2 linked regions of the Xenopus tropicalis genome follow. The protein of the gene in region 1 purifies or fractionates together with the protein of each later gene. This does not show direct contact. Links are inferred from orthologs where the notes say so. Each region holds a gene or a part of one and is shown in the gene's direction. Other genes may lie near its edges.

Evidence for each region.
Region 2: the proteins of phf5a (region 1) and snrpb2 purify together in Homo sapiens (affinity purification with mass spectrometry; 4 studies listed by BioGRID and IntAct, with this or other methods). This does not show direct contact. The link is inferred for Xenopus tropicalis from reciprocal best matches to the Homo sapiens genes PHF5A and SNRPB2.

Annotation. Positions count from the first base shown.
Region 1 is NC_030680.2:120,350,970-120,355,441, forward strand, and holds the start of phf5a (PHD finger-like domain-containing protein 5A), read left to right. Parts: upstream 1-1,660; 5' UTR 1,661-1,794; coding exon 1,795-1,846; intron 1,847-3,839; coding exon 3,840-3,863; intron 3,864-4,472.
Region 2 is NC_030681.2:29,852,070-29,856,434, forward strand, and holds the start of snrpb2 (U2 small nuclear ribonucleoprotein B''), read left to right. Parts: upstream 1-1,542; 5' UTR 1,543-1,581; intron 1,582-1,583; exon of another isoform or gene 1,584-1,833; intron 1,834-3,462; 5' UTR 3,463-3,481; coding exon 3,482-3,545; intron 3,546-4,298; coding exon 4,299-4,365. UniProt on the Homo sapiens protein: Involved in pre-mRNA splicing as component of the spliceosome. Associated with sn-RNP U2, where it contributes to the binding of stem loop IV of U2 snRNA.

The DNA of each region.
Region 1 (4,472 bases):
GGAGCTGCAGAGTGCCATTGAGCCCTATGGGAGACTTTCCTTGGGCCAGGTTGGAGCTGCAGAGTGCCATTGAGCCCTATGGGAGACTTTCCTTGGGCCGGGTTGGAGCTGCAGAGTGCCATTGAGCCCTATGGGAGACTTTCCTTGGGCCGGGTTGGAGCTGCAGAGTGCCATTGAGCCCTATGGGAGACTTTCCTTGGGCCAGGTTGGAGCTGCAGAGTGCCATTGAGCCCTATGGGAGACTTTCCTTGGCCGGGTTGGAGCTGCAGAGTGCCATTGAGCCCTATGGGAGACTTTCCTTGGGCCAGGTTGGAGCTGCAGAGTGCCATTGAGCCCTATGGGAGACTTTCCTTGGGCCAGGTTGGAGCTGCAGAGTGCCATTGAGCCCTATGGGAGACTTGCCTTGGGCCAGGTTGGAGCTGCAGAGTGCCATTGAGCCCTATGGGAGACTTTCCTTGGGCCAGGTTGGAGCTGCAGAGTGCCATTGAGCCCTATGGGAGACTTGCCTTGGGCCAGGTTGGAGCTGCAGAGTGCCATTGAGCCCTATGGGAGACTTTCCTTGGGCCAGGTTGGAGCTGCAGAGTGCCATTGAGCCCTATGGGAGACTTTCCTTGGGCCAGGTTGGAGCTGCAGAGTGCCATTGAGCCCTATGGGAGACTTTCCTTGGGCCAGGTTGGAGCTGCAGAGTGCCATTGAGCCCTATGGGAGACTTTCCTTGGGCCAGGTTGGAGCTGCAGAGTGCCATTGAGCCCTATGGGAGACTTTCCTTGGGCCAGGTTGGAGCTGCAGAGTGCTATTGAGCCCTATGGGAGACTTTCCTTGGGCTGGGTTGGAGCTGCAGAGTGCCATTGAGCCCTATGGGAGACTTTCCTTGGGCCGGGTTGGAGCTGCAGAGTGCCATTGAGTCCTATGGGAGACTTTCCTTGGGCCGGGTTGGAGCTGCAGAGTGCCATTGAGCCCTATGGGAGACTTTCCTTGGGCCAGGTTGGAGCTGCAGAGTGCCATTGAGCCCTATGGGAGACTTTCCTTGGGCCGGGTTGGAGCTGCAGAGTGCCATTGAGCCCTATGGGAGACTTTCCTTGGGCCAGGTTGGAGCTGCAGAGTGCCATTGAGCCCTATGGGAGACTTTCCTTGGGCCGGGTTGGAGCTGCAGAGTGCCATTGAGCCCTATGGGAGACTTTCCTTGGGCCAGGTTGGAGCTGCAGAGTGCCATTGAGTCCTATGGGAGGCTTCCAAAATCATGCACAGAAGGATCAAAGTCAGAAAGATTTTCCCACATTTTACGACTGTTCAAATATAAATATATATATCGTAAAGATCCGATTTTATTATATTCTTAAATACAAATTTTTCGTACTTCAAAAAGCATGATACAAAAAAACGTATTTGATACGATTTTTTTTGTATCATGCTTTTTAAACGTATGAACATCGTACTTCGATAAATCTGCCCCATAGAATATATTTTAATTGCATTTTCTTTATTGTACTTTATTTTTGGCAAAGTATGTTTAGCTGTAGACTGCCCCTTTAAAGGAAACAGTACTATGGGGCCGAAAAAACGCAAATCTTTTATAAAGCGAAACGCCTATTAACAGGATATCCGGTGTAAAAGTTCATCGCACAAGAAGGAAGAGAAGCGTCTAAGCGATTCTTTAACCAATTGGAACCCACAAGCTAAGTTTCCTAGGCGTAACAGCAAGGAAATGACGTAAAGTCCATGGGCGAGAAAGAGGCTTGGAACACAGAACTGGAGTGAACGCGCGGCCGGCGAAGGAAAGGAATTTAAACAGACATGGCGAAGCATCATCCAGATTTGATTTTTTGCAGAAAACAGGCGGGCGTGGGTGAGTTGCGCTGGGTAATGTGTTCGGTGTAACGGTGTAAAACTGAGGACAGAAAACTCTCCTCTCGTAGGCATTATAGATTGGCCGTTTCTATTGATTGCCTTTCTAAATCATTCGGATAGCACGTTCGGTACTTGTGTATACTCTCCTTGTATGCGTATGTAACAGGTATATGTGTTCCCTCACAGGGCTTCATTAACCCTCTTTTATTTGTTATCCACAATACTTCAGTTTTATAATTGTTATGTATATTTATGTTTCAGATTGTAGTTTGAGAGGTGGAGCTTGAACCTGATCTAGTTATACGCTGAATGCTAACTCCTTGATTATTGCAATTCTACTAAAGCACAATCTGACTTTCCTATTTAAACTCATGCAACAGAACTTGTCCTATATTTGCAGAAATCTGCAGAGAAACCTAACTTCTTATTTAAGGGAAATGTTGATTATTATAATTACAGAGGTGATCTGCACAGTAATGTTACTATTGAAGTGCTTTCCAACATGAATTTCTTATGTTATGAATGTGAGGGAAAATGACAAAACACAATGTTTAGGTGCATCGAATGGGTGAGATTACTCTGTGACCTGTGTAATGGCAAAAAAACAGCGTGCTATAGAAACACAGATTTGTATTTTTTATTTTTTTTTAATGTTTTCCTTTTTCTAAAGCTACATTGTATTTAACATAACAGATAATGAATTCTAAAGCTTAGGGCTTTCATTGTTGTGGACCTCCTGGTAATCTGATACTATACATGCAATGATACGTCGGTACATACAATACTGAAACAGTTCCAGCCAATACCATTTGAGGTTAATTAATGCCTTACTGAATTTATAAATTAATTTCATGTTTGTACTGGCAAGTTGTTGGAGCTAGTAAAGCTAGTCTTTACTACAGCTTTCAAAGGACATGTAAACCATTTATCTTCCTACCACGTATATAAGTTGGCACATACCCCCCCCCCCAACCAAACTTTACCATTTGTACTGCATATAACCCCTCTGTTTGCCAAAACCATCACATTTTCCTAAAGCAAATAGCAGCTTTACCCGGTGGCCATATTCTCTCTCGCACATCTTTAGTGACATTAAAGGAGAAAAAAATGTTAGGCAGCCCCACGTGGCTTTAATCGCTTACTTTTTACCCTGTGTGGTGCCCCTGTTAGGAGAAAACCGCACCAGCACTGGGTAGCTGTGAGCAAGTGTCTCCTCTTCCTTCTCATCAAAATCCCTGGGCCGGTGCATGTGCAGTAGAGTGAAAAGCCGACTTTTTTGTTAAAGTTTGGCTTTTCACTCTACTGCGCAAGTGCGCAAAGAAAGAAGAGGAGACCACACTCGCAGCTACCCCAGGCTGGTGCGTTTTTCTCCTAACAGGGGCACCAGCCCGGGGTAAAAGGAAAGCAATTAAAGTCACTTGGGGGTGCCTAACGTTTTGACACCCCCAAGTGACTTAGCCTTTCCTTTTCCTTTAACATCTGTAAATTGCACATATTAAAGTTACTTTAACAAGAAGTCCTGCTTGGATTGTGCCCTGTAACCGTAAACTGAGCTCCAGCAGATTACACAGCGAGAGCAGCGTTTCTAGGGAAACCAGCAGTGATCTCTTCATTGGCTGCTAGACTGGAGGCTGTGTTTGGTAACCTGAGTTAAGAAGAACTGAGCATGCTCGTTAGCCACCAGCCGAAGTCAATTCATAAGGGATGGGGCAGAGCGGGTTAGAGGAGGAAAAGAAATCCTAAGTGATTAAGGGGATACTGCAGCCTTTCTATTAACCGTTTGAACAACAGGAGTGGCAGGTATTTAAAGATTTCAATGAGGCTGTTCACTGATTACATTTTTGTTTGTTTTACATGTCCTTTAAAGCATTTTAGATATTTAAGATATGTGTACAACATGATGACCACTGTTTAATATATATATATATATATATATATATATATATATATATATATATATAAACACTTACATTTATAATTTTCTATTGCAGCTATTGGAAGACTCTGTGAAAAATGTGAGTATATATAATTCTTAAACTTTTAAAATATAAATTGCATTTGTTCATATGCAAAAAATGTTTCACCTTTGTCTTCTTTGTGCAACTGATTATTTCTCAACAAGCAATGGTTTTTAAGTGTTGCTGCCAGTCCTATATCTGATATCTCTGATATATCTGATTATATATTCTATATTCAGCAGTTGTATTACATTAGACATTATTAAAAAAATGACATTGCTTAACATCTGCTGAGTGGGGAAAATCAAGAATTTACAGTCTGTTTAAAAGTGTGTGTAGTTGTGGGGTGCATGTAAGGTTAGACTTAAGGTCCTCATACACCATAAGATCCGCTCGCTTGGCGATGTCGCCAAGCGAGCGGATCTTCTCCCGATATCCCCCACCTATGGGTGGGCGATATCGGGAGAATCCAGGGTAATTCGATCCCTGGGGCCAAATGATCGAATTATAACAGCAGGTATAGGAAAAGTCGGTCCGGGGACTGCATCAATGAGCCGATGCGGTCCACGATCCAACTAGATTTTCTAACCTGCCCCATCGAGATCTGGCCAATTTGAGGCCAGATATCGGTCGGGCAGGCCTGTTGGGAGTGCGCTTACACGGGCC
Region 2 (4,365 bases), on another chromosome or scaffold:
TTTAATGTGCAACATTTGTTATCTCTCTATAGGTCAGGCCCTCCAGCCTTTTTTAAATTGCAAAATCTATACTGGCACCCCCAGTGGTGTAAATATATAGGAAGCAGACCCCACAGTTGCAGGGGTGGGTCCAGGAGACAAGGGCCCCAGACCACATGGTCTACTTTCTCTTTAGGTGTAAGGAGATCCCCACTCACTGGCTGCTCTCCTACGTGAGAGTGAGTGGTGGAGAGTGGGGGATGTATGCAGGTGAGTGGGGGATCAGTATGGGGTTAAAGTGTGGACTAGGCCCCTCCAAAGTGCTGTGTAGTTACACTGTATATATTTTTAGAGCTAGAGTAGACTCTAAAATACAGTAGATATTGGTAAAAGAATTGTCACTTGTATTGGGGTCAAAAAAGAACTAAAGCTTAACAAAGATGTGGGGTGCAAATGCTGATAAAAGCCATAATACAATGCTGATAAGTTGTTAAACCAGATTTTTATTACATGAAAGGAATACAGTTTGCTCCAGAATTTAATAATAAACCCTGTAGCATCAGCTTCAATAACAGGAGAACCTTATTTTCTGCTTTCTGATTTCTGACAACCCCTAAGCTTTGCTTCTCAACAGCTGCCCAGAGCCCACTGAGTATGTGCAATGTCACTGACACATCTAACAAAATATTGTGGTTGCATTACGAAAGTCACAAAATTTTCGGATCCGAACGTTCATAAATGGCGTGAAAACCTTTCTGGCTTTGTAACCTTCAATGCATGATTTTGGGAAGCCTTCCATAAGACTCAATGGCACTCTGCAGCTCCAACCTGGCCAAAAGATAGTCACGATACCAAAGGTTGAATGAATCCCGAAATGGTTGTAGTCTTTGCGAAAAATACGAAGTTAGTGCAAATCACAAAAAAGTCGTGGAATGTGAGCGAAATTATTGTGGACATTCCGAAATGTTCTATAGAAAAATGCTATTTTTTTTTCTAAAAAAATGAATGGGCCCCTATATGATAACATGAAATAAGGACTCAAAAAGGCATGGAGTGGATCATTATCATGGGGTTGGTTAACAGCTCTGGTGTGCTTGTTTTGTGCACCTCTTCTCAAGATGTAATATAAAGGACATTTACCCAGCTGCAGTAACCTAGAGAGCAAGCAATACATGTTTGATTTTATACAGGTGAAATGGTGCCATAAGTTACTATAGATGAGGTAAAATTTGTACTATTGTTGCTTCCCAAATGAATTTAAAACAGCCCTGACCCCCACGTATTGCCCTAACGTTCCCTGCCATAATTTAATAATGAATACCGCCGTTCCACTGTATTACACAGGTGCTTAAAATTTTGGCGGAAAGACAAAAACAGTTGTTTATTATATGACACTCTAGTCGCAACCTGGGAATGTACAAAACGTCAAAGAAAATAACTTTATGATCAATTATGCGAAGGCGGTTTTGCCCTTACGAAAGATGGCCGAAGTGACCTCGGAGCCGTGACGTACGTCTCTTTCCTGTTCTAATGCGCGTTTGCTGGAAATCAACGTGCGACGCCAGCTTGGAGCCGTAAGGCGCACGGAAGCGTGTGTGAGCGGTAAGGAAGGAGCTTGTATGGGTGATTGCCGGGCTTGTTTGTCATTGTACGAGGGTTTCTTTTGGTAATAGTTCTATACGTTCCGCTCCTTCGCTTGGTGAGAAGCTGGCAGCGGGTAATGAGCAACAACTTCCCCAGCAGCCACGTCCAACTCCTGCCCGTTCTGTTGCTATTGGAATAAAACGCGCCTGTAGTGCGGGTTTATATGTAGCTGTAACTCGGTTAAGGGGCAACTTCGTGTGGTAATTAATGGTATTGATTGATTTGTAACTGCAATCAGTTTCCATACATTGCAACCAATCAATAGAGCTGTCCCTGATCTGTGTGCGACTGGGGGTCGCCAGTGTATGGCTGGGAAAGAGCTGCACTAAAGCTTATAATTGTGTATTATACACACACTAATATACACAGGGGCAGGCTAGTTTGCCTGTATATTGTTGGGTATGGGAGAAAAGTGCAGTGACTAAATCATAATACTACAGGTATGGGATCCATTATCCAGAAAGTTCTGAATTACGGAAAGGCCATCTCACTTAGACCCCATTATAAGCAAATCATTTTAATTTTATAAAATGATTTCCTTTTTCTCTGTAATAATAAAACAGTACCTTGTACTTGATCCCAACTAAGATATAATTACCCCTTATTGGGGCAGAACAGCCCTATTGGGTTTATTTAATGGTTAAATGATTCCCTTTTCTCTGTAATAATAAAACAGTACCTGTACTTGATCCCAACTAAGATATAATTAATCCTTATTGGAGGCAAAAAATCTTATTGGGTTTATTCAATATTAAAATGACTTTTAACAGAGTTAAGTGATGGAGATCCAAATTACGGAAATATCCCTTATCCAGAAAACCCCAGGTCCCGAGCATTCTGGATAACAGGTCCCATACCTGTACTACTAAATCCAGCAGTTACATGTTTTTAATAATGGGATGTTATTTTGTAGTAGTCTGTATATTTCATATTTATTGAAAAATATGCCGGGCTATGCCTTATAGTCTTATCTGTGTTGCTGAAATTGTAGGCTATAAAAAGAAATTCAATTTAAAAGCATGCATTATACTATTACAGGCATGGGACCCCTGGGCTTTTCCAGATAAGGGGTCTTTATATAATTTGGATCTCCATGCCTTAAGTCTACTAAAAAAATAATTTAGTTGGGAACAAGTACAAGGTACTGTTTTATTACAACAGAGAACAATTTAGTATATTTTCAAATAGTGAATTATTTTAATAAACTGGATAATGGGTTTCCAGATAACAGATCTCATACCTGTACAAGCATGTATTTGGTTTTATGTATAGATTTATGTAGGTTGAATTCAGTTGGAATTTCATGGCACATGTTATATACAATAATAATATTCTGATCTGAAAGTGGGTCTGACAGATGTGGTTCGCAGGCTTGTCTAATGTGCAATATCATGGCGGGTTAGTTTTGGTAATATTACAGTGTGCCTGGCTTTTGAAAATTATTGCTTTACTCTAGGGAAGTGATTCCCAATGAGTGGCTCATAAGCAACATGTTGCTCCCAATGGCCCCAAAGCAGGTGCTTATTTTTGAATTCCTGGCTTGGAGTTTTGGTTGCATAAAAACCAGATGTACTGCCCAACAGAGTCCCTTTAGGCTGCCAGTCCACGTAAGGAATACCAAAGAGGTAATAACAGCCTTTTTTTGGCACCAGAAGGAATTTTTTTTTTTTTTTCATGCTTGTGTTGTTCCCCAGCTCTTTTTACATTTGGATGTGGCTCACTGGTAAAAATGTGTGTGTGGCACAGTAGTCCATCTCCAAGGAGAAAAGAACCTTGAGTAATACTGTACTTTTTTTCTATATCTAAGGTCCTTTTTTTTTTTTTTAACATCTCTTTCAGTATTTAGAATATACAAGCCATGGATATTCGGCCAAATCACACTGTCTACATCAACAACCTCTGTGATAAAGTAAAAAAACCGGGTAAGTGTGAGGAGCGTTTAAATGTTGAATATTATACACTCTCAGTCTACACTCTATACAGTCTTTCCTGGCAGAGTACACTTTACATCTAGACAGCAGCATTGGTATTGCAACTCCTTATGCTGTTATCTGTGAAGGCATTTTTTACTCTCCTATATCCTTTGTATTCCCCTAAATAGTAAAAACTGCAGAGAAATGAAGAAAAACAAACAAACTTAAATATCCTTCAAGCTTTAAAAGTGTAAAACTAACTTAAAAAAAAATCTGCTCAGAAGTCTACTTTTTCCATTTCATATACTACTATTCTTCTGCTATTTATTATGCTTCTTGCCCTAGATATTATTGCTGTTTATTGATCTAGTGCTCACCAGTGCTTAGCATTTGATGGCAGCAAGTAGGTAAAAAGGCCATCAGTAACGATTTCTTATCATTTTAGATGTTTTTTTTTTATTGAGGATGGTGCCTGCCTAGGTGCTTCAGTTAAAATGTGCACCACTGCAATCAGCAAGCAATACGAAAGGAGAGAGTGTCGGCAACATGTGCAATCACGGCCGCACCCAGTCATTTGTATAATCACTAATATGCACAGAAAAGCTTCTTGTGCAGAATATCCCATGGCACTGGTTTTAGTAATAAATGTAATAACTAATACTGATATTCTATTTTCACCTTATCAAAATCCGTGCAAGAGATTTAACCATACATGTTTTTATACTTATACTGTGAAGTTTTTTTTTTTTTTTTTCTTTTCAGAACTAAAGCGATCATTGTATGCGCTATTCTCCCAGTTTGGCCATGTTGTAGACATTGTGGCATTAAA